Linked DNA regions of Rattus norvegicus. The protein of the gene in region 3 purifies or fractionates together with the protein of the main gene of each other region. This does not show direct contact. Links are inferred from orthologs where the notes say so. Each region holds a gene or a part of one and is shown on either strand. Other genes may lie near its edges. The genes, in order: Gabarapl1, Map1lc3a and Retreg1.

Region 1 (8,154 bases), on a different chromosome or scaffold from region 3:
AAGACTACAACAGGCACAAGTGAAGGGATTTGACATTGTGACCCTGTGAAAACTCCTGCTAATATGTTTATTTTGGCACTCGTATCCCTCTTTGCCCCACCCACAAGTGATGAAAACAAGACTGAACACCATTAGGAGTGGGTGTGGATAAAAATGGTGGCTTTAAGGCACATGTGTGAGCCTTTTATGTCTCCCCTCCACTGAGTTACTGTCTTGAATATGAGGAGAACTGTGTGCAAAACAGTGAGGCTGAAGCTGTCACCTCCTGGTGCAGAACGTGTGAGCTGCAGAGAGCTCAACTCACTGCGTCCAGGGAGGACACTTTAGGGTCAAGAAAGGTTCCTGGCACAGGAATCAACCAGTCTTAGTCAGATGATCTTTGGTATTTGTTTTGTAGGTAACGTTCACTTAAAAGTTAACCAAGCAATACAAAACAGGACAAAACCCCTTTCTTTTTTTAAAAGTTCAAGCTGAAGAAGTAAGTTTTCTGATGTTTGGTAGTAATTTATGTCTAGTTACAGCTAGACCAATACTCTAATTCTGGCTTTTATTCATTGACATACACATAATAATAGAAAATAGAAATAGAAAAAATAAAACTTAACTTTGTATTCAGTTTCAATTTTTTTTTAAAACATCTACGGGTTCTTCACAGTCTTTTTTTAGATTTATTTATTTATTTATTATATTTATTTATTATATTTAAGTACACTGTAGCTGTCTTTAGACAGACCAGAAGAGTGCATCGGATCTCATTACAGATGGTTGTGAGCCACCATGCGGTTGCTGGGATTTGAACTCAGGACCTGTGGGAGAACACTCAGTGCTCTTAACCACTTAGCCATCTCTCCAGCCCTCAGTTTCAATTTCTAATGACTGGGGAAATGAGGAGATGCGTTTGAGAGGTATGTAACTCTGGGTATAAACTCTTGGAAGAACTACCTAATCGGGGAGGTGCTGATGATTTTAAGATACAGTGGGTGACTTGACTTCAGAGGTGAAGTGCAGTTTGCTTCCCAATAGGAAGAAAACATCTGAAGCGGTGGGCAGACTGCCTCTGCTTGCACTGTTTTGAGATGCTCTCCATGACTGAATATGCTTAAAAACCCCAAAAGTTCCAAACCTGAAAACCAGAAGAGTACAAGAAACATTTGGAGTGGCTATATGAGAAAACGTGCTCTTTTCATACTGCCTTTTGTCTGGTTGAAGAAAGCAACTTTAAGATATTTTTATCTGATTGAATGTCAGTTTATAAATGTACCTCTGTACAACATTTTAGAGAGCCTTCTGAGAATCAATAGTAGAGTTGTGAAAATAGATACGTTTTGAATTTTTATACGATTTGTTTCTATTTTTTTGGTGTGTGTGTGTGTGGCTGTTCTGCCTCATGTTATTTCTGTGTACCATGCGCATGCAGTATGCAGTAGAGGTCCGAAGAGGGTATTAGATCCCTGGGAACTGGAGTTTCTGAGCTGTCATGTGGGTGATGGAAATCAAACCCTGGTCCTCAGGAGGGGCAGCCAGTGGTCTTAACCACTGAACCATCTCTCTAGCTCCCAACATATTTTGCATTCTAATGTAAACTACTAATGCTTTAAAATTCCTCCGAGCTGATTACCCAACATTTTATCTTTTGTTTTTCACGTACTGTATACGTTATCAGTGGACTGAAGAACTGCCTTTCAATTAGCTGAGACTGTACACCTACAAAAAATTGAAGGTTACTCAGAAAAACAACACTATTACCATTTTAATCCCCAGATCTGTCTCAACTGGTTGTAAAATTCTCTTCTGAAAGACTTAATTGTATATGAGTCAAAGGTAAAAAATGAGTAGCTGGGCATGAAACTATTTTCATTTTGAGAATAAAACCTGAAAATAATTAAGATAATCATGACAATATTATATATCAACTCATATGTCTTTATATGTAGGAAAGATTGCTAGGAGGAAACCAAGAAGTGGCCTATGGATTTCAGTTTCTTGTTTTGCCAGTTAAATTCAGCTCATTTTATTTTGCAGGGTTTTTAAGGATAAGTCACTAAGATTATATATATCTATACCTATAGATATATATATACATATTTATATATAAATCTTGATATATACATATATATTCATATATAAATTTTGAATATATAAATATATATATTCAGGCAACAGGGTTGCTTGCCCGGTGCCATTCAGTAGTCATTCTATTTCCACAGCACAAGCTATTCTTGACCTCTGTCTCTGATGCTCCCAAGATAAAGGTCTGGAGTTACTGCCAGTAGGATCAGAAGGCTGACCCGGCATCCAAAAAGTCTGAGATGGAAACCTGGTATGCCAGAGGGGCCTGGTCTGACTCTCTGTACCACTGAGGGTCTTCTAACGGCACGCCAGTCAGAGTTTTTGGTGCCCATAAGGCCTTTACATCAGGACAACTACCCTGCAGATGATACCCACCCTCAAGGAAAGTATTGTTGGGGAAACAGACACCTAAATTGTTTGACGTCTGTATTTTCAAGAATCCAGCAACCACACTTTTGGACGAACCTTATAAAATGAATGGAATCATCTCTCCTTGAACGTGATTAGAAGTCCAATGTTCATCGCTGGCATTGCTTCTCCTAACCTTGATGACTTCACGTTCTTCACCCTTACACTTCTTCAAATCCATGAGTCACGCTGTGTTTATGTTGTCTCAGAACCAATCCCAGCACAGATCCAAACGCAAGGACGCCAGTCAGGAGGAGCTGAGGCAGAGAAGGCAGGCCAGCCGTGGGTGCTAGACAAAGGTCAAAATGCAAGCACAGGACATTTCAGCCTGGGTTACAAATCTCGTGACAACTGGCGCTTTTCCAACACCCGACTCCTGATTCCATCGCTCTGGAAACAGCTGGATTTTCTTCCTCTGTGTTTGTTTTGGGCATCAAGCAAGAGACTTGAAGGGGAGGGAAGAAGACATTTGTTAGAACCTTCTTTGGATTAACACATTACCTTTAATGTCTATTCTCAAAAATAAAAACCAGGCTAAACGATTTCTACGTTTCGGCGGAGTAGTTTAGGAAAAGCTTAGGCGAAAAGAACACACATACATATAAACAATGCCTCTGTCCACCCCGATCCGCAGGTCCTTCGCGCCGGGGGGCGGGGCGGGGGTGGGGCGTCGTGATGTCACAGCACCGCCCTGGTGTTTTTGTGTTCCCTGCTCTTGGGAAAAGCCACCCCATTTCTTTACCTGGTGGTCCTTTACCTTCAGGCCCGGAGATCTCCAGGTCCCTCTCTGGACGTTTGGTCACGTAGTGCGGCGACCAGAGCGTGGGAGCTGACGCGGGTGGAGCGATTGTGATAAGGCTGACATTGACTGGGGGTGGCCAGACGGGAGACGCGGTCAACAGCGCGCGCAGCAGGCCCCGTCCGGGGAGCCCCTACATCCTGCGATCCATCATGAAGTTCCAGTATAAAGAGGACCACCCCTTCGAATATCGGAAAAAGGAAGGTGAAAAAATAAGGAAGAAATACCCGGACAGGGTGCCGGTGAGTGGGGGCTGGGAGGGAGAGGGCAAGCTTGGGGAGTTTGGGAGCTGGTTTCCCTGGAGCTGCCCGGTAGCCTGGCGATGGCGGGTGGCCCTGGGGCCGGAGGGTCATCTGAATCACGTATTCTTGACCAGTTTTGACAAGCTTGTATCCCCAGGGCCTGTGCCCACTTTTGGCATCCTGAAAGCGCAGCGTGCGCGTGGTGGGTGAGTCAGCAGGATTCAGCACCCGTGGAGGTTGGGATGTGCGCGTGGCGGGGCCTGTGTGTGCGGGGGCGACTGGTTGGGGTCCCAGTTAGGATATGTTTATAGAAAATGCAGCCCAACCCTAGAGCAGCAGGTGAGCCTTGTGCCCATCCATGTCTGTCCAATGGTTCTTCATGAATCCGAGTTTCGTCCTCATTTCCTTAAGCGTAGGAGGAAAAAGACGTGAGAAGCCCCTAGATTCTGCCCTGCGTTTTCTTAGAATGGGGGGTGGCACCACCAGGCGGGGCCCCCCTCAAACAAGGTCATGCTCTGCGTCACAGCCAACCTGCCTCCTCCTTATTGTCTCCTGGGCCATGTGCGGATAAAGAAAGGTCCGTGCTCTGTACTGTGATGGGTGGGCCCGTGGATCTCAAGAGCCAGGACTGAGAAACGTTTCCTCTATGAATTATACCCCGATTTAAGCGGCTAAAACCTAGTTCATGCACTGCGAAGGAAAATACTAAGGGAGTCTTCAGCATCCGGGTGTTTTTCACTTTACCCCCTCCCCCGCCCACTTGGTATTTTTTTTTTTTCCTCCTCTTTGGAAGGCTGCGCAGCAGAATTGGGAGCAAAGGATGACATGGCTGTTAAATATGGTGGATAGATGAGCAGGGACTTTTAAAAATCATTCTCTTTATCTGTACAGGCAATGATGTTTATTAGATTAGCGTTCCTCTAACTTTGAAAGGTAAAAGAGCTGTGTTAAACTGCTAAATTTTTTTTTGATACATAAGTAATAGGGGGAGGGGCTTCTTCCTTGTTCTTTATCTCAGCCTGGACTACTAGAAGAAATGGAGGCTCAACAAGAGAAAGTCCTCAGCCCCATTTTCTACCTTCAGCCCCATTTTCTATAAGGAAGAAGAGAGTTAACTATTTCACCATTCTCCAGAAATTACATATACACGGGTCTGCCAGAAATGGCTGGGAATACTCCAGTTATGCCTTTTTACTACATAGTCCTTTGCATGGACTTCCCCGTGGAGGATTGATTTCAAAATTTCTCTCAATCTGTCAACCCCACTTAGTATTTTAAATTTACACGTGGACCGCATAGCTGGCAGCACTTGAATGCCTTGTCTGCATACTCACCGACTCTAGTCACAGCCTTAAAATCCTTGTGCTACAGACGTGTTCTGAAGCATAGGGCAGTGAAGTCACCACCCAAAGGTTTGACATTGCTGGCTGGAAGAGGAGAATTCCAGCCCTGACCGTCATGCTTCAGGGCTGTCAGAGTCCTTGGCCTTCAGGGTTTTGATGTTTGTTTGTTTTGTCCAGTTTGTACTAGAGCGAGGTGAACCACAATTTAGTGTACATCTTAGAAGATCAAACCCTAGAAGTAGGTTATCACTTGCTGCCATCTGGAGTTCAAATGGTAGTCAGTGCCAGCCAGGAAACTTAAGTGAATGTGTCTACCCATTATTCAGAACATCAGAAATACGAGCTGTGACCGGTAACTGTTTTCAAATTCAGAGAAAACCTCCATACTTCTTCAAGGCAGAGGCCCCTCTCGGTCAATTGGTTAAAGCACTCACCCAGAATATTGCAGTCTCTTTGTATTCTCTTGCTCATGACTTGATGTTGAATGTTTTACTTCATTGATAATTTGTAAACCTTCACTCAGATCTCATGGAACCTCTGGATTTCACCCCCAGATGGTGCCTCCCAGTATGAGAGGTTCTCAACCTCTCATTGGGTTGAGACAGAACTCTGCTAAATGGCAGAGATTTGAGTGGGGGTCGGGGCAACACTGGAGTTGGAAGCCTTTGTCTGGTTTCTTCTCCACCTCTGGGTTGTAACAGGACTTTGCATGCCTTGGGCACTGTGCTGAATCTTACTATGTTCAGGTTTTTACAGAAAAGCCACTAAGTTTCTAAGGCAGTCTGACTCACAAGTTAAGCCTGGCCTCAGAAGGATTGTGCGTGGGCCTCAGGAGAAGGGATCATGGGATATTGAAATAATAGTGTTGGAAACCTGTAACAGCAGGAACTACTGGACACACTATTTTTAAACATGTGTAAACAGTCTTACGGTGTATGAGCCACGGCTACAGAAAACAATTCCCCTCTCCTTTTGGTAGGAGGTACCAGGTCTCAGAGTTCCTGTGGTGAATACCAGGGCTACCTGCTTCCTGTGCTCTGTTGTTTGTAAACTGCATTCTTCCCTTCTTCCCTTTTGGTTTATTTGTTTTTCAAGTCCCTTTCTATTTAATTTGAAGCTTTAGATTCATGCCTGTCTGCCCAAGCATTTTCTTGTACTTATTTGTGTGGCTTTTGGTGATGTGTGTGTGTGTGTGTGTGTGTGTGTGTGTGTGTGTGTGTGTGTGTGTGTGTGGCTTGATGAAGCTCAGAGAGGTCAGAAAGATGCTGACGGTCACACAGCTTCTAGGGATACTTGTCCAGTGTCTGTTTCTGCTTCTTTGCTTCTTAGTATTTCCCATTTCTTATATCTAAAATGAGTTTTTCAAAACAAAGAATCTAATTTTAATATCCTTGTAAGATGTTTTCTGAGCAAATATATAAACACCATCTATGATTTTTGTGTGTCTTTTTCTTTGTTACGAAATGCGTGATCTTTAAAAATTATGAAAATAATTAATGCGGACATTGAAAATCCCTTAAAATGCTCACACAGTTAATAATGGGGAATAATTTAGTGCATTATTCTCAGAAAGTGTCACTCATTATAAAAATTCATAGTAGTTTTCACTTAGCAATGGACACTTTTTTGCAAAGATTGAAATCTGAGGCATGTTAAGTGTGTGTGTGTGTGTGTGTGTGTGTGTGTGTGTGTGTGTGTTAGTCATCACTGTCGCAGTGTCTGATGCAGTCAACTTCTATAGGGCAAGAAGGCTATTGGCTTCAGAAGCCTTTGTCCATGCTCTTAGTTGGCCCCATTCTTTGGGCTGGTGGTGACTCCAGACTATCATGGTAGAAGCACACGTGAAGACAAGATGGGAATCAGTCTTCAGGTTTAGCTCAGTGACCTAAAATTCCCATGAAGCCCCACCCCTTAAAGTTTCCACCACTTGTTCATAGCACCAAGGCAGGAGCATTTTTTAAACATAGTAGCCTTTGGAAGGCAGTGACGTTCTAAACTATAATGTTGTGTCTATAACAAAAGGCATCGCCTCCTCTGTGTGTGTTCACATGTGTGAGTGAGCATGTGTATGATTGTGTGCATGTGTGTGGAGGCCACATGTTGATACCTTGTACTATTATTCTTGCTTACTCTTCACCTTACTCAGTATGAACCCAGAGCTGACCACTTCAATTAGTCCAGACAGACAGCTTGCCCAGGGATCCCCAGTTTCTGCCTTCCCAGAAGGCATATCCACTGGGCACTCACTCGGATTTTAGGGATCAGAACTCAGTCTTCACACTTTGATAGAGAAAGCGTTTATGACGGCTTCATCTCCTGGGTCCATAATGGTATTTTAGAGGAAGAATCAAACTAATAGACCATCAGACACATCTTAGAAACACAGAACATCTTTTCAATTCTCTTAATAAAACATTATAGGATAAATATCTTTTACAGTCCTTTATAGGTAATTTGTAATTACTTAAGCTTAAGGAATATTTGAAGTGGGAACTAAAAATTACATTGAATCCAAACCGTGTGGGTAAATTTCAGGTGTGGAAGGAAAAAGATAATACTAGAGTCTCTAGGTTTCATCCCCACCCTCCTGTTCTTTTAGGTCATCGTGGAGAAGGCTCCTAAAGCCAGGGTCCCCGATCTGGATAAGAGGAAGTACCTTGTGCCCTCCGACCTCACTGGTAATGGCCTTTCCCTCTTCTGACCCTTCATTCCAGGAAAGCATTCTTGATCTTAAGTCTAAGTTGGTGACTATGCATAGGTTGTCACCTTGTGTAGGTTGTGACCATGTATGGCTCTCTTCCGGGACCTGGCCAGTGCGGATAGACACACTCTGTCCTCCTGTTTCCAGTTCTGTTTGGTATTTCCCAATGCCATACTCAAGTGCCTTAGTCATGGAGACCCAGGAAAGCAGCAGTACCTGGTACCCTGAGGTCGATCGATTTGGGAGGATCACATTTCAGAGATTTATATTTAAATGCTTTATCTTTAAATGTGTTTCTGTGTGAGGGATGAAAACGGCAAATGCTAGCCTACCTTTTGTTTTGAATTATACGCATTTAGACTTACCTTGTTCTTAAAGAAGTACCAGGTGCTTACAGGATGCCCCAGAAAGATTCTTTTAGACACAGCACTCATGCAATTGTCAGCCTCCCAGAAATGTCATTGTTTGCAGAGAGAAGTTGCATGGGCTCACTGCCCTGACACTTGCCCCCATGGTACTGGGAGGGCCGGAGTCCAGTGGTTCTCTTTCTGTTGTTAGCTCTCAAAGTGCAAATGTGTTGGAAAGGAATCA
Region 2 (7,857 bases), on a different chromosome or scaffold from region 3:
AGTCCTTTAATACTGAGTGACCTTTGCCTTACAGTGTGTGAATTTTCTATCATTTCTTCCTTTGGTTTTCTCTGTACATACCTGGCATTTGTTTTGTTTTGTTTTGCGCTGAGGACTGAACCCAGGGCCCTGAGCTAAATCCCCAACCCCTTGTTTGGTCAGAGGTCAATTTGCAGAAACTGGCTCCGTTCACCACAAGGGTTTGGGGGACTGAACTCACATGACTGGATTTGGCAGGAAGCACCTTCACCCAGAGTCATCTCACTGGCTCCAACTTTAAGTTTTTATTATGAACTTTTTACTTACCACACAATGATATTTCACACATACATGGCACATTGCTCCTCTGCAGTCCTCTTGTAAACACTATGGCCTTCCTTCTTTTCTTGGCCAATCCTAAAATTGGGGATGACAGGCACATGCCACCATATCCAATCTAAGTGACGCTGGAATCAAACCTAGGTTGTCCTGCCCAGGGGCCATGCACTCTAACCACTGACCTGCACCGCCAGCCCTTGGTGTTGTTTCAGGTTAGCATAAGATTCCTCCAGCTCTGCGTCCATGCTCTTTACATCCTGTCTACGTTCCTGTATCATCTGCTTCTGGCTCCCAGGGTTCAGTATTTAAAACTATATTTTATATTTCTATTCTCTTAATACCACCTCCTGTTGTGTCTGACTTTTTATTTTCCATTTATCTACTTGCTGTATGTGTGCGGAAGTTGGCATTTGTCTTGCCATCACGGACAGAACATATTTTAATATTTAAAATATTAAAAATTCTTTCTGGGTTCAGTAGAGAGATGTCTGGAGACAGATTTAGGAACCCTGTCACTTGCCACAAGGGAAGTTGAACACCGCAGAGGTCTAGCAGGAACCCTCAGAACCTTTGCACTAACAGACTTTCTCCGAGGGGAAGGGGTCTAAGATTAGTGGAGGCACTAAATAGGATTTAAGGTCATAATTTAGGAAACCAATCCTACTGTCCCACCCTAATTTGGGGCTGTCACCTACTAGGAGTTTAGCTGCTTGGAGAATTACTAGATGGGGTACAAGGCCTGGATGAATGCCTTTGTAGGGGCAGCCTCTAGGATCTAACATACCCCAAGATTGAACTAATGTCCCCATGCTGGCAGGCAAGCTCCACACCAGACCAAGCAGACAATAATCAGGATCTTCCCAATCAGAACCAGCTCCCTAGGGCATTTAAAAGGCAAAACCAAAACCCAAAACCCAACACCCAAGGTCTCACTATCTAGACCTGGCTGGCCTTGGAACTCCAGAGATCATCCTGTCTCTGCCTAAGGAGTGCTGGGATTAAGGAGTGCGCCACCACCCAGCCTCTTTAAGGCAATTTTAGCTGAATTCTTTTTTTTTAAAAGATTTATTTATTTATTATATATGAGTACACTGTAGCTGTCTGCAGACACACCAGAGGAGGGCATCAGATCCCATTACAGATGGTTGTGAGCCACCATGTGGTTGCTGGGATTTGAACTCAGGACCTCTGGAAGAGCAGTCAGTGCTCTTAACCGCTGAGCCACCTCTCCAGCCCTTAGCTGAATTCTTGTGACCTGAGCAACTCGTCTTTGTACCCCACAATCACTACTATTTATGTCCACATTAAGTAGTGGTTGGGATCGCTTCTCGGCCTTTTGGCTAAGATCAAGTGTAGTATCTGTTCTTATCAGTAGTGGTTGGGAAACATTTACACATGCATCTGTTAATTTGGTTACCAGTTTCCATCAAATTTCTTCCCTGTGAGTTGTATGTTGTTTCTGAAGTACAAACTAACTTTTTTCAAGCAATGGCCCTTTGTAAATTCATTTGTTTTATCTTTTTCCTTCCTTCCTTCAATTCTAGCCCATCCTCCTGCCTCAAACTCGTAGTATAGAGCTAGGATTACAAGTAAAAGCCAGCTACATCTGGCATTAATCCTGGCCTTGAATCAATCTACCCTGACCCTGAGTAACATTCCCAGACCATAGTTTTCTATTCTACCCAGGGGCTCTACCTGTAAATTCGGACTTAGTGTGTTGTCAATTCCGAATGTTCTCCATCTCATACTAAAACGCTTCTGATATAGCCTCCCATTCAGTGACTCTCTCCTGCTTTGTCTAAACCGCTTATTAACCTCACTCTGGAAGTCTATGCTTTCCATAGCTGTTTCAGAATTCTTTGAAAGCCTGGGTGGGGGTACGGAGAGATGGCTCGGCAATTATTGCTCGCCAAGTTTTGCTATATTACAGAGGACCTTAGCTTGATTCCCAGCACCGCTAGTAATTCCAGCCTAAGGCAATCCGATGCTGTGTTCTGCCTCCGCGGGCATACACTTAGAAACACATAAAACTTTAAAAAGTTTATGGATCCTGGGTGTTCCATTCCCTCCCCGCCCCACCTCGTTACCACCTTCGTTCTCTAATGCTAAGCTTGGTGAAGGCGCTGTGAATTACTCGGCAGCGTAGAGACTAGAAGAAGGCGACAACCGCCTGGCTTCACAGTCCTGAGGAGCCAAAGACAAGCTTGCCGATCGTGACGTCACAAAACTGTGACGCGCCCTGTAGCTCCGCCCCCTTACGACCTGCGCCGGGAATCCGGGCTGTCTGCGCCGTGGCGTCACAGGTTCAGGCAGGCGGGTTTTCCGTCGGCCCAATGGGAGCGGCGCGCCGGCCTCCCCTTTAAGGAATGTTGTGACCTGACGTCACCCAGGCGAGTTACCTCCCGCAGCCGCCACCGCCGGGCTCAGCGCGAGCCCCGCAGCCCTTGAGCTCGAGCCCCGGAGCCCCCGGCGCGCCGAACCGCAGCCGCATCCCTGAGCCGCGCGCCCCGGAGCCCCCGGCTGCGCGCCCCGCCGGGCCCGCGCGATGCCCTCCGACCGGCCTTTCAAGCAGCGGCGCAGCTTCGGTGAGGCCCTGGGGGTGAACTGCCATCCGGGACCGAGGGATGGGGATGCCAGTCGACCCCGATTGCCGCAGGTGACGTCAGCCCCATGACGTCAGGGACCGGGTGGCCGGACCCCGGGTGGAGAGGCCGCAAGGCCTGGCAGGGTCGCCGGCCTCCCTACCGCGTCCCCGGGTGGAGGGCTGCGGGGCCGACGGCCCCGGGGGCGGGCGCTGGGGCGGGGCGGGCCGGGAGCCGCCCCTCGGGGATCGGCGAGGCGGAGTCGCGGGAGGCCTCAGCACCGCTGGGCCTCACACAGAGCTCTGTCCGCAGCCGACCGCTGTAAGGAGGTGCAGCAGATCCGTGACCAGCACCCCAGCAAGATCCCGGTGAGTCTCTAGCCCCCCGGCCACGCCCTGTCCCACCAGGTCCCGCCCCTGGCTTACGAGTCCCCCGCCCACTCCACTCCTAGGTGATCATCGAGCGCTACAAGGGTGAGAAGCAGCTGCCTGTCCTGGATAAGACCAAGTTTCTGGTCCCAGACCATGTTAACATGAGCGAGTTGGTCAAGATCATCCGGTGCGTGGGCAGCCTCCTACAGGCCTTGGGTGGGGCGGGGCCGGGCCAGGTTCTACTAGAAGGGATGGAGTGGGGCAAGGGGGCATCATTTGGGACACCAGGCAGGACCCTGTTCTAGGAGGCTGGAGAAGGTCAAGGACGGGTTGGGGTGAGCTTCAGTAAAGAGGTGAGAGCCTCTGGCTCTGGCTGTGATGGATGGAAAGTGAAGATTCAAAATAATTCTGGGAGGGTCGCCCAGGCCTCCAGCAGGCGGCCTCTCACCTACCATGCCCTCCTGCCTCCACAGGCGCCGCCTGCAACTCAACCCCACGCAGGCCTTCTTCCTGCTGGTGAACCAGCACAGCATGGTGAGTGTATCCACACCCATCGCTGACATCTATGAACAGGAGAAGGATGAAGACGGATTCCTCTACATGGTCTATGCCTCCCAAGAAACCTTCGGCTTCTGAGTCAAGAGGAGGGGTGGGGGGTGGCTGGGAGTTCTGGTCAGGTTCTCCCCAGGGAGGTCCTGCCTCCTAAACTAAGCTATTTCGGCCCCGGGTGGATTAGGCAGAGATGTGACACCCCCTCCCCCCAGGTAGGGGCCACCAGCCAGCATACCAAGTCCTGGGTAGGTCCTGGGCCAGTCTTGTTAGGCTTGCTCTTTTGGGTGCTGGCTGGGTTGGGAGTGGGTGGGGAGCAGCATCCCTGCCCCGTGGGGTTTGTCTTTTTTTTAGGCCCTTGCCTGTCTACCCATCTTGCCCCTCATCCACCTGAGGCTTTGCCCCCTGACAGGACCTGCCCCACCCCTGAAAGGCTGGCTCCCCTTGTCCTGACATGGTATGTGGATCTGTGGTCATTTCCTCTGCAGAATAAAGATTGCTCAGGCCTGCCTGGCCCTTTGCCTCCGGCTGCTTGTTTGGGAGTAGGGAGGGCTGCTAGGTGACTGTCCACATAGTCAGGGACACACAGACTTGTGTTCTGTGGACTCTTAGTATAGACCATGTAGTACTGGGGGCCAAGCTCACTCCCCTCCAGGAATATGATCAGGACAACAATGAAAAAGAAGACCCACACATTTATTAAGTAGTCACAACCTATAAAGCCCTGCTCACTGGCTGCTCCCCTTCCTTTCTATGCACAGTCACAAAGTGGGGGTCCAAGTGGGGTGCTCCTAGCTTCTCCCCATGGGCCTTGTTGCCAGCTACGAGTCCCCTTTGGTGCCAGAGGTTTGGAGCCCTGGACTTGAACGTCTTCTGCCTGAGGACTCGCCTGCTGGCAACTCCGGATGAGGGACCTGGCCCAGCTCTGGCCCTTCCCCCTCTTGTCCATGCAGCTCTGTGCCAGCAGGGCTACTTGAGCACAAGCATGGCCTCAGTGCCGTCCTTGGCAGTCAAGTAGAGACCATGCGTGAGGTAATACTCCCGTCGCAGGAAGGCGTAGAAGTAGTCAGAGATGAGCAGGATCTGGCAAGGAAAGAGAGAGTGAAAAGCCACGGGCACCTTACTGAATACTACCCTTTGCCGGGTTAGATAGACAGGCAGGTTAGTGCCTGCCTGGCATCTCCCCAATCTAGAAGCCTGCCCTCCGTCCCTCTTGGCGCGTACTTGACCATTCCCAGCCCTGAAATACCTTACCAGTCATGGGCAGCTGTATGTATTCTACCTTCCGCCCCCTTCTCCTGGTTCACACCACCGTCCCATGTTCTCACAGTGGGGCTTTGCTGACAGGTACTCCCCACCCAGCCTAGTCAAACCCTTCCAGGAACTTAGGACACAGAACTGCCTACTATTTCCCTATACCATGCAGCCCAGGAATTCTACCTTGAAAACACGATTTGACAGTCGGTGGTGGTAGTACATACCTTTAATCCCAGCACTTGGAAGGCAGGAGCAGGCAGATCTCAGTCTCAGATCTGACTGCCTTTGTCTCCTGAGCGCTGGGATTGGAGGCATGCACCACCACTATCAAGCTGTTTCCAGATGTGACTGGTATGATTTCCTTCCCTTTGACCTAGCCAGCTCACCGAGGTGATGAGTTTGTATGCTTCTTCACCTGCCCTGACACAGGGTCTGGGTGAGAACCTCAGGGCTGAAGGTCAATGTCTACTGCCTCAACCATGCTGACCAGCAGCTGCCTGGTTGCTTGCTGATATGATCTGTCCTTTTGTGGATGGACTTTTGCCTCATCACACATTTAAGGGTCCAAGTCTCCAGGTATGGCTTTGCCTCCAGCCTCAATTTCCCCGTTTGTAAAGTAGACCATTAGCCCTCCAATGAGAATGGCAGGAGTGTGTCCAGAGGTCTTCTTAGCTGCTCTTCTATCAGAAAAGTATATAGCTGCCCACAACAGGGCTCGGAAGACCTAGCTCCTTGGTTTAGGTCAACCTCTGTCTGATCTGTCTCCCTCTCGCTAAGTACCTGCCATGTTCTGGCCTTCGTTTACCTGTGTGAACTAAGAGGTGGTTAGTGCTAATACTCTTGGGGCCTCTAAACTTTTGAGAACTATGGTATCTCCAGTACTGTGCCTGCCCTCCTTTGCTGAGGCAGGACACTTCCCTGCCAGCTCCAGTTACACAAGTCTTAGGCATGTTGGGGTAGACTTTGGGGTCATGTGTGCAAATGAGACAAATCCTATCCCTCTCTGGGCCTCTACTTAGGGGGACAGCGAACTAAGATTGTTGGCTCCTTTTGATTTTCTAGTCAGACTGAGTTGGGGCAGGGAAATGCCACAGAAGCACTCAGGATCCATCCTGAGCAGAAACGACCTTCCCACAAAGCGCCATGCAGTTGAATGTGAAGCTGCAATTACAATGAATTTGTGTCAGCAGAGAGGTCAAGGGGTCAGGACCTAATCTGGGGAAGGTGAGCCTACTACAGTTGGAGAGACAGGTATTGGCTGGATGAAAATGTTTCATCCTGTGGTGAGAGAGGCAGTCCAGGGAAATGACGAAATGGATGGCAGAACCAGGTGCAGGGTCATGGAGCTCATAAGGGTGAAGCACGAGAAGCTTTTGGGAGAACTCAGGCCAAGTAGTAACATGATCAGATTTGTGGTTTGAAAAGCTCCCTCTGGCTGCCTGGCACAGGAGAGGGTTTGAAAGCAGGGGACCCTGGGAAATGTCTGAAGTGGTAGTTACAGGGATGGGTAACACTTGGAATAGCACAAGTATTCTGGACTGCTAAGCCATTTCTCTAGAACCCCGGGGATTCTTGAAAAACAAAAAGCACAAGTGTCAATCTTAGGACAAATACCAGACTAAACTTACTGAGTGAGGGGACCTGCCTAGTGCTCCACACGCCTGCCAAAGTTATGGGGAATAAAGACGACACAGCAGAGGACGCTAGGAGACAACCAAGTATAACGTGGTCCCCTAGGTTAGTCCTGGAAGGGACCATGACTGGAAAAGTCATGTCCCAGTGAAGCCTCCCATTCAGTTCACGGTAATTTCCCAGGTGGGTTCTGTGCAACTTAAGATGTTGACCAGGAAAGAAAACAAGAGTGGACTGCACGGCACGCCTCTACCCTCTGCAGCCTTCTGTGACACGAAGACAAGGTGCAAGGGCTATCCAGAGAACAAAACTGACCAACAACACAACTGTGATCTCACTGTTCATGGGTTGTTTGTCTGTGTTTGGGTTTTGTTTGTTTTGAGACAGAATCTCTTGAAACCCATGATGGCCTTTAACTTTGTATTAGAGAATCTCCTCAAACTTCTGAACCCCCTTCTACTTCCCAAATACTGGGGTTGCGAGTATGTACCACAAATCTGTTTTTATGTGGCACTGGAGACCGAATCCACGGCTTTCTGCATGCCAAGGAGGCACTCTCACAGTGTTTAAGAGAATATTCTCAGTCTGGTTGGTTGTTCCGTGAGACTGTCTCAATATCTAGTCCAAGGTCCCTGTGTAGCCAGGGAGAAGGTGGAGACTGGTGGATCACTCAATTCATGGTCATTCTTGGTTACAAAGTGCACTGAGACCAATCTGGTCCACATGAAATAATGTATGTGAGAACACAAGGAACTCAAAAGCATTCTGGTAGGTAAGACATGGTGAAGAATGCCTTTAATTCCAGCATTAAGGAAGCAGAGGAGAAAGGATCCTTGTAAGCTCGAGGCCAGTCTAGTCTACAAAAAAAAAAAAAAAAAGTAAAATGTGGCTGTGGCTTCGGCAATACATGCATAAGACCTGCATTTGCAACTCTAGTTCTGTGTAAATGAAGTGTAAGTAAATATTTAGCTCTACTTACTCAATGATGTAAAATCTGACATTTAGCAGGAAAAGTAATGTCTACATTTCAATTAGAAATAGTTTAAAAAAAATAATCCAGGATGAGGTGGAGAGAAGGCTCAGAGGGTTAAGGTACCTGCAGCCGAGCCTGACGACCTGGGTTTACCCCAGAAGCCATGCGGTGGGAG
Region 3 (8,054 bases):
ACACTGGTGTTGGTCAATCACAGTTCTTATTGCCTTCATTCTAGAAAGGAGGAAACAGGGAATGTTCCTTATTCTCAATAATAACATGTGTTTTTAAAAGGGTAGCAATGAACTTGTTGTTTGATGAGTCACATTGTTTAAATACAACGATATTGGAAATCAGGAATCTTGTTTTTAGGTCTTGACACTGTGCCTAAGTACATGAGACAACTTGGGTCGGTCAATGTTCTCCATCAATATGAGGGGATGTGAAAAACTGACATTATGTCAGCCTCATTCCAAATTGTATAATTCTACGTTACCCATAAAAAGCTGGAGATGTATGTTTGGCTGACTCACTTGGAGACTATAGAGATGAGTATTACTATAATAATCACTGTTTGAATTGTTTTTTAAATTGTATCTTTATAAGTATGGGTGTTTTGCCTATATGAATATCTGAGGACTGCATACATGCATACACATGGAGGTTAAAAGAAGTAGTTGATCCCTGGAACTGAAATTACAGATGGTTATGAGCTGCTGTGCTTGTGTGTGTGTGTGTGTGTGTGTGCTGGCAACCAAACCTGAGTCCCCTGAAAGAGCCACGAGTGCTCCTCACAGCCAAGCTATCTCTCCAGCTCCTCCTCATAGCGTTTTTAACAATTATATTGCAGTGATCAATTCTTTTGAGTTCACGGTCCATAAATGTGAAGTGATACCCTTTCTTCATCTCTGAATTCATATTTTATATTCAAGTCCTATCTCCATCAAATTGTATTTGGCACAATCTGAACATTTATTCTTGTCTCCAACATTTATTACATTTTCCAAAATCATTTGTCCGAATAGAATTTCGATCTGCACACAATGGGTTTCTGTTTGGCATTATAACAATTCAATTGTCAATGAGAATTATTTGTTTTGCTAATATCGACGTTGGAAATAGTGGGATGTGTTGTTTTAAAAGAAATTACATGAGATTTTTCTCAAGGTGGAGAAACTGAGTGGTTTCTCAATCAGTGAAAACCAGTTACAAATTGAGCATTTTCTTCCCAGCAAATGATACAATTTGTAGACATTTATAGGAAAACAATAGCTTAAGTATTCAAGCTTTAGGAATAATTAATTATTATTTATTATGAAAGGCATGAAGGGGGAAATTAATCATATTTTACTGAAAATGTGAATAAATTAACAGATAATGTCCACTTGAAGTCTATTAAAAAAATCCTTAACATGACCTTCAGTGGGAGGCTCATTCCAATGTTAGGGTATTACTTACTACTAAAATACATGTCTTCTCCCTCCCCTTTGCCTGTATGAGGGTGCTCCCCTACCCACCCACACTCTCCTGCCCCACTGCTCCAGCATTCCCCTAAGCTGGGGCATCAAGTCTTCCTGGGACCAAGGGCTTCCCCGCCCGTTGCTGTCAGGCAAGGCCACCCACTGCTATATATGTATCTGGAGGCAGGGATCCCTCCAGGTACACTCCTTGGTTGGTGGTCTAGACTCTGGGAGCACTGGGTGGTCAGGCCAGCCTATGTTGCTCTTTCATTGGGGTTGCAATCCCCCTCTGCTCCTCTAGACGTTCCGCCCGCTCTCCAACCAGGTTCCCTGAACTCTGTCTGATGGTTGTAGCCGGAGGGTCCCAGACACCAGGGAAACTTAGGGTTCCTAGGACCCAACAGGGATGACTTTAGCTGAAATGCACAGGGAAGGGGGAGATAGATCCTGTAGAGACCTCCTCCAGCAGATAGGCATGGCCCTGGTCAAGGGATGGGGACATCCACCCATCTCAAAGTTTTTTAACCCAGAAATGTTCCTGTCCAAAAAAAGAAAGAATGGAGACTGAAGGAAGGGCCAATCAGGGACTGCCCCTCCTGGGGATCCATCATGTCTGCAGACACCAAATCCAACACTGTTGCTATGCTTGCTGACAGGAATCTAGTGTGGTGGTTTCTGAGGAAGTCCAGCCAGCAGCTGACCAATGCAGATGCGGATCCTTGGAGCCAAGCAATGAGTTCTTGAGGAACCATGTCCCAGAGCCCCAGCCCTAGCCTCCTCCTGCCACCTCCCCACCCCCGTGTTGGAATCAGATAACTAATTGTGTAGCCAGTTGTTTCTCTCAGTATCTAAGCTTTTTGAGTTTGTTATCTGGCTGGTTAGCTCTCTGAGTAACTCAGAGCATAAGGCGGCCAACAGTAATCTTCAGTGAGTATTTGCTGAAGCTCTGACTGTTCGGTGGTTGGACACTGTGGTTGGTGTTATTGTAGCTGATGTTCAATTACATTTTTTCCCTCTGTTTAGCTGGGAAGTTATCAATTCCAAGCCAGATGAAAGACCCAGACTGAGCCACTGCATTGCAGAATCATGGATGAATTTCAGCATATTTCTTCAAGAAATGTCTCTTTTCAAACAGCAGAGCCCTGGCAAGGCAAGTTTTTAAATACTCAGTGTAACTTTGGGAACAAATGAGGTGACCAGTTTTAGCTGGTAAAGACTCTCTAATTTGAACATACTAGGCTCGGACGTGGTCACATTTGAAACTCTTTTTCTATTTATCTATTATAGAGATTTCTTTAGTTCAGTACTTAGAAGGGATTGAGATTGGGTATGCCATATTTAAAACCGAAAGGAAATGGGTGTTATTAGGAACTATGGTCTGGTTCTGAAATCAATGGCAGTTGAGATAAATGCAGTCCTTTTAGAGGTTCAGAGGCAACTGAGTCTCACTTATAATCTAAAAATGGAGTCGAGACTGGTTTGGTTCATTGTGAGGAAACTCACTGAGTGTGGTGCTCACAGTGATCCCAACACTTGTGTAGGTGGAAGGACCATGAATTCTAATGAGCTTGGCTACACAGCAAGACCCCCATCCCGGAATAGCAACACAGAGAGAGGATGAGGAAACCAAACAAGCTTTGGCAGACACATTCGCTGTGGCTAGGTGAATGGAATAAGAGTGGGTCTTTGTTTGTCTTGTTTTGTGATTAAGATAAAAACTCCCTCAGGAAGAGACTCGAGTAATGAGAGGGACTGCATGGAGAAATGCACACTAGAAGACTGTGGTCAGGGCTTTACTTGGTTGAGGGGCAGTGCTGTCAACAGACATTGATGGTTCTAGCACTGTTTTTGTCCACCAGCTGTAAAGTAGAGCTAGAAATACCAGCATCAGGATCCCCTCCGTGTGCCATGTGTAGGCAGCCTCATAACGTCAGCAGTATTACGTAACAGAACAGCACCTGGGAACATCTTGTCCATATTGAACTGGCAGTGCTATATCTTTAACCACAGTCAGTTTTTAACTGATACACATGTGAGGCACGGCAGACTTTAGTGCTTGTTTGACCAACATGACATGCTCATAAATAGTGTTGGAAGATTCTCAATGTGCAACGTCTGCTGTGTATTATGTTAATGTGCCTTAGACCTTTAAACTAATATCCATTAGTTAAAGGTTATGATGCTACAAAATATAGGTTACAAATCCCCTTGCACAGCTGACTTCTGGGTGTGGATGACTACATCTGTGTTGGCTTGTTTCTTCCTTCAACTTCTGAGACATTTCTTCATTTCTAGAATTCCAAATTCTTTCAAGGCTCTAGTTTTGTTCCACACATTCATCTGAACTCTTTCTATTAACCACATGGAATGAAATACCAGTTACCCTAAAGTTTAGAGGCCTTGTTCTTTCTCTTAATGAGGTTTAGGACAGAGAGTGTATCTCTCCCTATTTTTGAAAGCCCCTTAGTAAATTTGCTTGACAGTTTAATTCACTACTTCCATTTAAAAGTAATGCATAAACAATTAGACACCTTATGAGCAGAGTGTAGAAAACAAGTGGAGGAGGAAAACAGAATTCACTGCAGAAGTTTCATTTCACTTGGCTTAGTTTTGGGCTAACCCAGATGTGGGTGGATACAGTTAGGGAGGATTATGATGTTTACAGATTTATGCAGAGGTTTGTCAGCAGTACAAACTACATCAGATTCATGTAGGCGCTACTATAACATGCGTGGATCTGTCTATGGATTTCAGGGTTTTATGGTAGTAGTTTGAAGTTGCAGATTTGCTTCTCAGGGTGAGTAAAGTTGTTCTTGGGGATGTGTTACTATATGAGTCTCTTGCACTTGGCAGTAGTGCGTCAACAGGCCTGAGTAAGGAATTCGTCATTCCAGAATTAGCTCCTCTGCCTGCAAACTGATTATCCTCAAGTGTTCAATGCCTCCTCGGTGTTCCTAAGTATAAAAAGTGCTGTTGAAGAAACACATGGCATACGTAATACAACACACACATCACTCATGTGCCCTACTGTGTCTTGCTGTTGTGGATAACTGTCCCATGCTATTTCTGTTACTTCTAGTTTTGCCTCCTGGTCTGCAGTGTGTGCACATTTTTTACAATCTTGGGAAGTTACATTCCTGGGGTCATTCTCAGCTACCTACTGTGTAAGTATAGTAAAAACGCTTGACTACTTTGTGTAGCACGTACGGCTTCCTTAGTGCTTCTCAGATCTTCTGTTTAGTTTGGAAGGGTAAAGGTAAGCTCTCAACTATTAAACAAGTCTCCTAAGCATGACTGTTTTCCTGTCCCCTAGAGATAGCTATACGTAAAGATCTAGAAACACAGATGCAAGATGCAGGGTCATAAAAAGAATGTTAAATTATACACTGAATATTTAGGTCCCACTCTGTACAAATATACCTGCACTTTTGCCTTTGTGCATGTTTTATGGGACCAAAGGTAAAATCACAACGAGATACCAATGTATGCTGCCAGAAAGGCCTAAATTAAGAACATCACATCAAATACAGATAGAACACTGATACAGAGCAGCCCAAATTCTTGCTTATTGGGGGTAGGTTGGTAGAATGGTGCAATCAGAAAACCGGACGGCTGTGTCTACTGTATAGTTGGGCATCTCACAGTGAGATATTTATCCAAGAGAAACAGATGGGAACATCTCTGCAGATAGTTATACACAAGTGTTCATAGCAGGTTTGGTGTTAGTAGCACAAAGGGATACAATTCATATGGGCTTTACAGAGACATGATAAACTGTGCTCTTATCCATATAGTGGATTATTACCCAGCACTAATGATTGATACATGCAACACTATGGATAAATTTCAAAGTAATTAGGCTGAATGGAAAAAGCCAGAGCATGCACTATATAGTTCTATTTATGTACAACCCTAGAACAGTAGAAAAGTAGGTCAGTGGTTGCCAGGGATGAGTTGGGTGGGGTCAGGGAGAGGCAGAAAGGAAGGATTAATAAGGACATGAGGCAACTTGCTTGTAGTAAATTGTTTATCGTCTTGATCCAAGTATTCTTGGTTGATTACATGTCACAACTTATCAAATTGTAACTTGGTACGTAGCTTGTTATATGTGAATTATAACTCTAAAAAGATGTTCACATTATATATTCTGCTTTTCCTAAAATACATGAAGATTTAGCTGTTAGCTTTCAGCGGGGCAGTATCTCTGCTAACCCCACATTCCCTTTCCTACGCTGGCTTTTGAGTTTCACGTGTCCTCCACTGGGCTGTAAAGATGACTAAGGGAGGACACTGCCCAGCAACAACCAAAGAATCAACACTGAAAGCAGGTACAGCCAGTGTGGCTGTCTTCCCTTCTGGATCCCTAAGGCACAGCACATCTGGCAAATGGTTGAAGCTCTACCTGGTCTTCCAAATAGAACTTACAGTGGTTACTGGATCCCCATTTTGTAGGAAATAAGTGATTAAAGTGCTGGCAAAGGAGAGATAGCAGCAAGGCATTCTCCATCTTGTTTTTGCTGAGCTCAACTACATGCCTAGCTACAGCAACCCCACCAAACACCATCCCAGGGTCACTGACAAGCTAGTAAGAGGTGTGTGTTCTCACAGTAAATGGCAGTAGTAAACAAAAGTAAGATTTTAGCAGAGGACAGTGGTTATAAGTGTGTGTGTGTGTGTGTGTGTGTGTGTGTGTGTGTGTGTGTATGTTAAAGTATGTTTTTGCCACAGAATAAGAATGAAAATTAAGAGCTGCTACTTTCCCCATGATTGAACCATTATCTTGTAAAATACTAAAATGTAAGCATCCAGAATGAATGTCTTACCTGTATTATTTTCTTCTTTGTTTTCCAGTACTGTTTGCTTTTTTGTGTCCACTGTTTAAATGTAATGATATTGGACAAAAAATATACAGCAAAGTCAAGTCCATTCTATTAAAACTAGATTTTGGAATTGGAGAATATATTAACCAGAAGAAACGTGAGAGATCTGGTAAGTCTGGTTTGAATATTAGCTCTGTGTGTGCAAAATGGGACTTACTCAGTTGGTTCTGTAAAAGCTACCTGTGTAATCTGTGTGGTCTTTTCTAGTCAGGCCTATCTTCTTGTCTCAAATGTACAGCTAAGTAGGTTGACTTTTAAAGTCTACATTGTGCCTGTTTCTGAATGGGACATGGATATAATCACCCCACCCTGGCAAGGGACAATAGACATTTGGATTAGAAAGATTTGGAGTCAGAGATCTGCTGGCTATGGCACAGCAGTTGCAGTATTGAACTCACACCCATAGAGGTACAAGAAACACAAGACTGTGCCTGTCAACATCTCATCCTGGATGGGGTCAGGGCTCTTGAGCTCCCACTCCTCCCTGAAGTACACTGACAGTGAACAGGGGCTGCTGGGAGGGGTGCCACTTTCTCCAGTAGAGTGGCACTGACACATTGCCCAAGCTTCAGTAAAGTTGCCCCACCCATGTTCATCCAGCCAACCCCATTTAAACTCAGGGGCACACAATGAAGACAAGAGTAGGAGAGGTGATGGGAAGAAGGGCATCAGCAGGAGGATAGGGGACAAAGGGAGATGAAGGACAAAAGTTCATCGTACACATACATGAGATGGTCAAAGGATGGAAATGTAAATGAGTCACAAAATACACAGATTGTCAGGGGCTGGAGAAAGGGCATCAACACGTCTATATCTTGTTATGCATGATGCACTTTATTTTATTTGGGTTGGGTTATTGAAAATTTCAGAGGTAACGACTATTGTGGGAGCCATGTAAGAGGAGACTGAAGTAACAGGGGAAAGAAAAGGGGAGTTCTAGGACAATTAAGGAAACTAACATGTGTAAGGAATTATATATAAAATACATATATATAACTTTAGTTTCTCAGACTATAGGATGCATGAGAATGACCAGGAGTGTACAGCCTAGTACAGACTGTGACTCCAGAGGCCAAGGGTAGCGCCAGAGTCCACCTTGTCACAGAGTTCCCAGGGCTGCTGCTCCTGGTGGGTCATGCTGTGAGAACACAGATGTTGACCATTTCCCCTGGAAAGCAAACATTTGTAAATCTCTGTAGCTTCTTCAGTGCAAAAATTACAGGGAATCATTGGAATGCATAGCTGGATGTGAGGAGAATATATCAAGGTAAATGCACTATGTATAACCTTTGGAGGAGACTAAATGCCACCTCCACCCCTTTTGTTCCTCAACAGAAGCAGATAAAGAAAAAAGCCACAAGGATGACAGTGAAATAGACTTTTCGGCTCTTTGTCCTAAGGTATAGTTGGTCAATTTGTTTCTGTGTGGTTTGGCCATTTATTTACATAAAATAGATCGATTGTCCTAATTGACTAATTTATAACGAAGTTTGTCTTCTATTATTTTATGACATGACTGAATAATCTCGAAGGAAATGATCATTGATTTTTTTTTAATTTTAAAATTTAGGGGGGTATTACAGATTTTTAAAAAGATTTCTTCAGTATGAAATGTGCCACTGATATTTCTGTTGATACAGATTAGCCTCACAGTTGCTGCCAAAGAGTTATCCGTGTCAGACACAGATGTGTCAGAAGTCTCTTGGACTGATAATGGGACCTTCAACCTTTCAGAGGGGTACACTCCACAGACAGACACTTCTGATGGTAAGCTCATGCTTCTGGGGTTCTCTTACTTTTATTGGTACTGAATACAAGAAGGACTACTTAACTTCTATCAACCACCGAGTGATTCATAAAATGTGGACCATTTGCACAGAGGACATAACTTAGATTTAATAGTGAATG

The links.
Region 1: the proteins of Retreg1 (region 3) and Gabarapl1 purify together in Homo sapiens (affinity purification with western blotting; 3 studies listed by BioGRID and IntAct, with this or other methods). This does not show direct contact. The link is inferred for Rattus norvegicus from reciprocal best matches to the Homo sapiens genes RETREG1 and GABARAPL1.
Region 2: the proteins of Retreg1 (region 3) and Map1lc3a purify together in Homo sapiens (affinity purification with western blotting; 3 studies listed by BioGRID and IntAct, with this or other methods). This does not show direct contact. The link is inferred for Rattus norvegicus from reciprocal best matches to the Homo sapiens genes RETREG1 and MAP1LC3A.

The regions. Positions count from the first base shown.
Region 1 is NC_086022.1:164,663,079-164,671,232, forward strand, and holds the start of Gabarapl1 (gamma-aminobutyric acid receptor-associated protein-like 1), read left to right. Parts: upstream 1-3,253; 5' UTR 3,254-3,429; coding exon 3,430-3,519; intron 3,520-7,461; coding exon 7,462-7,540; intron 7,541-8,154. UniProt on the Homo sapiens protein: Ubiquitin-like modifier that increases cell-surface expression of kappa-type opioid receptor through facilitating anterograde intracellular trafficking of the receptor. Involved in formation of autophagosomal vacuoles.
Region 2 is NC_086021.1:164,240,516-164,248,372, forward strand, and holds Map1lc3a (microtubule-associated proteins 1A/1B light chain 3A), read left to right. Parts: upstream 1-2,688; 5' UTR 2,689-2,863; coding exon 2,864-2,903; intron 2,904-3,212; coding exon 3,213-3,268; intron 3,269-3,351; coding exon 3,352-3,458; intron 3,459-3,744; coding exon 3,745-3,907; 3' UTR 3,908-4,335; downstream 4,336-7,857. Other genes in the region: Pigu (phosphatidylinositol glycan anchor biosynthesis class U protein precursor), read right to left, coding at 4,790-4,903. UniProt on the Homo sapiens protein: Ubiquitin-like modifier involved in formation of autophagosomal vacuoles (autophagosomes). While LC3s are involved in elongation of the phagophore membrane, the GABARAP/GATE-16 subfamily is essential for a later stage in autophagosome maturation.
Region 3 is NC_086020.1:78,193,368-78,201,421, forward strand, and holds part of Retreg1 (reticulophagy regulator 1), read left to right. Parts: intron 1-2,289; coding exon 2,290-2,416; intron 2,417-4,345; coding exon 4,346-4,430; intron 4,431-6,117; coding exon 6,118-6,255; intron 6,256-7,481; coding exon 7,482-7,546; intron 7,547-7,786; coding exon 7,787-7,913; intron 7,914-8,054. UniProt on the Homo sapiens protein: Endoplasmic reticulum (ER)-anchored autophagy regulator which mediates ER delivery into lysosomes through sequestration into autophagosomes.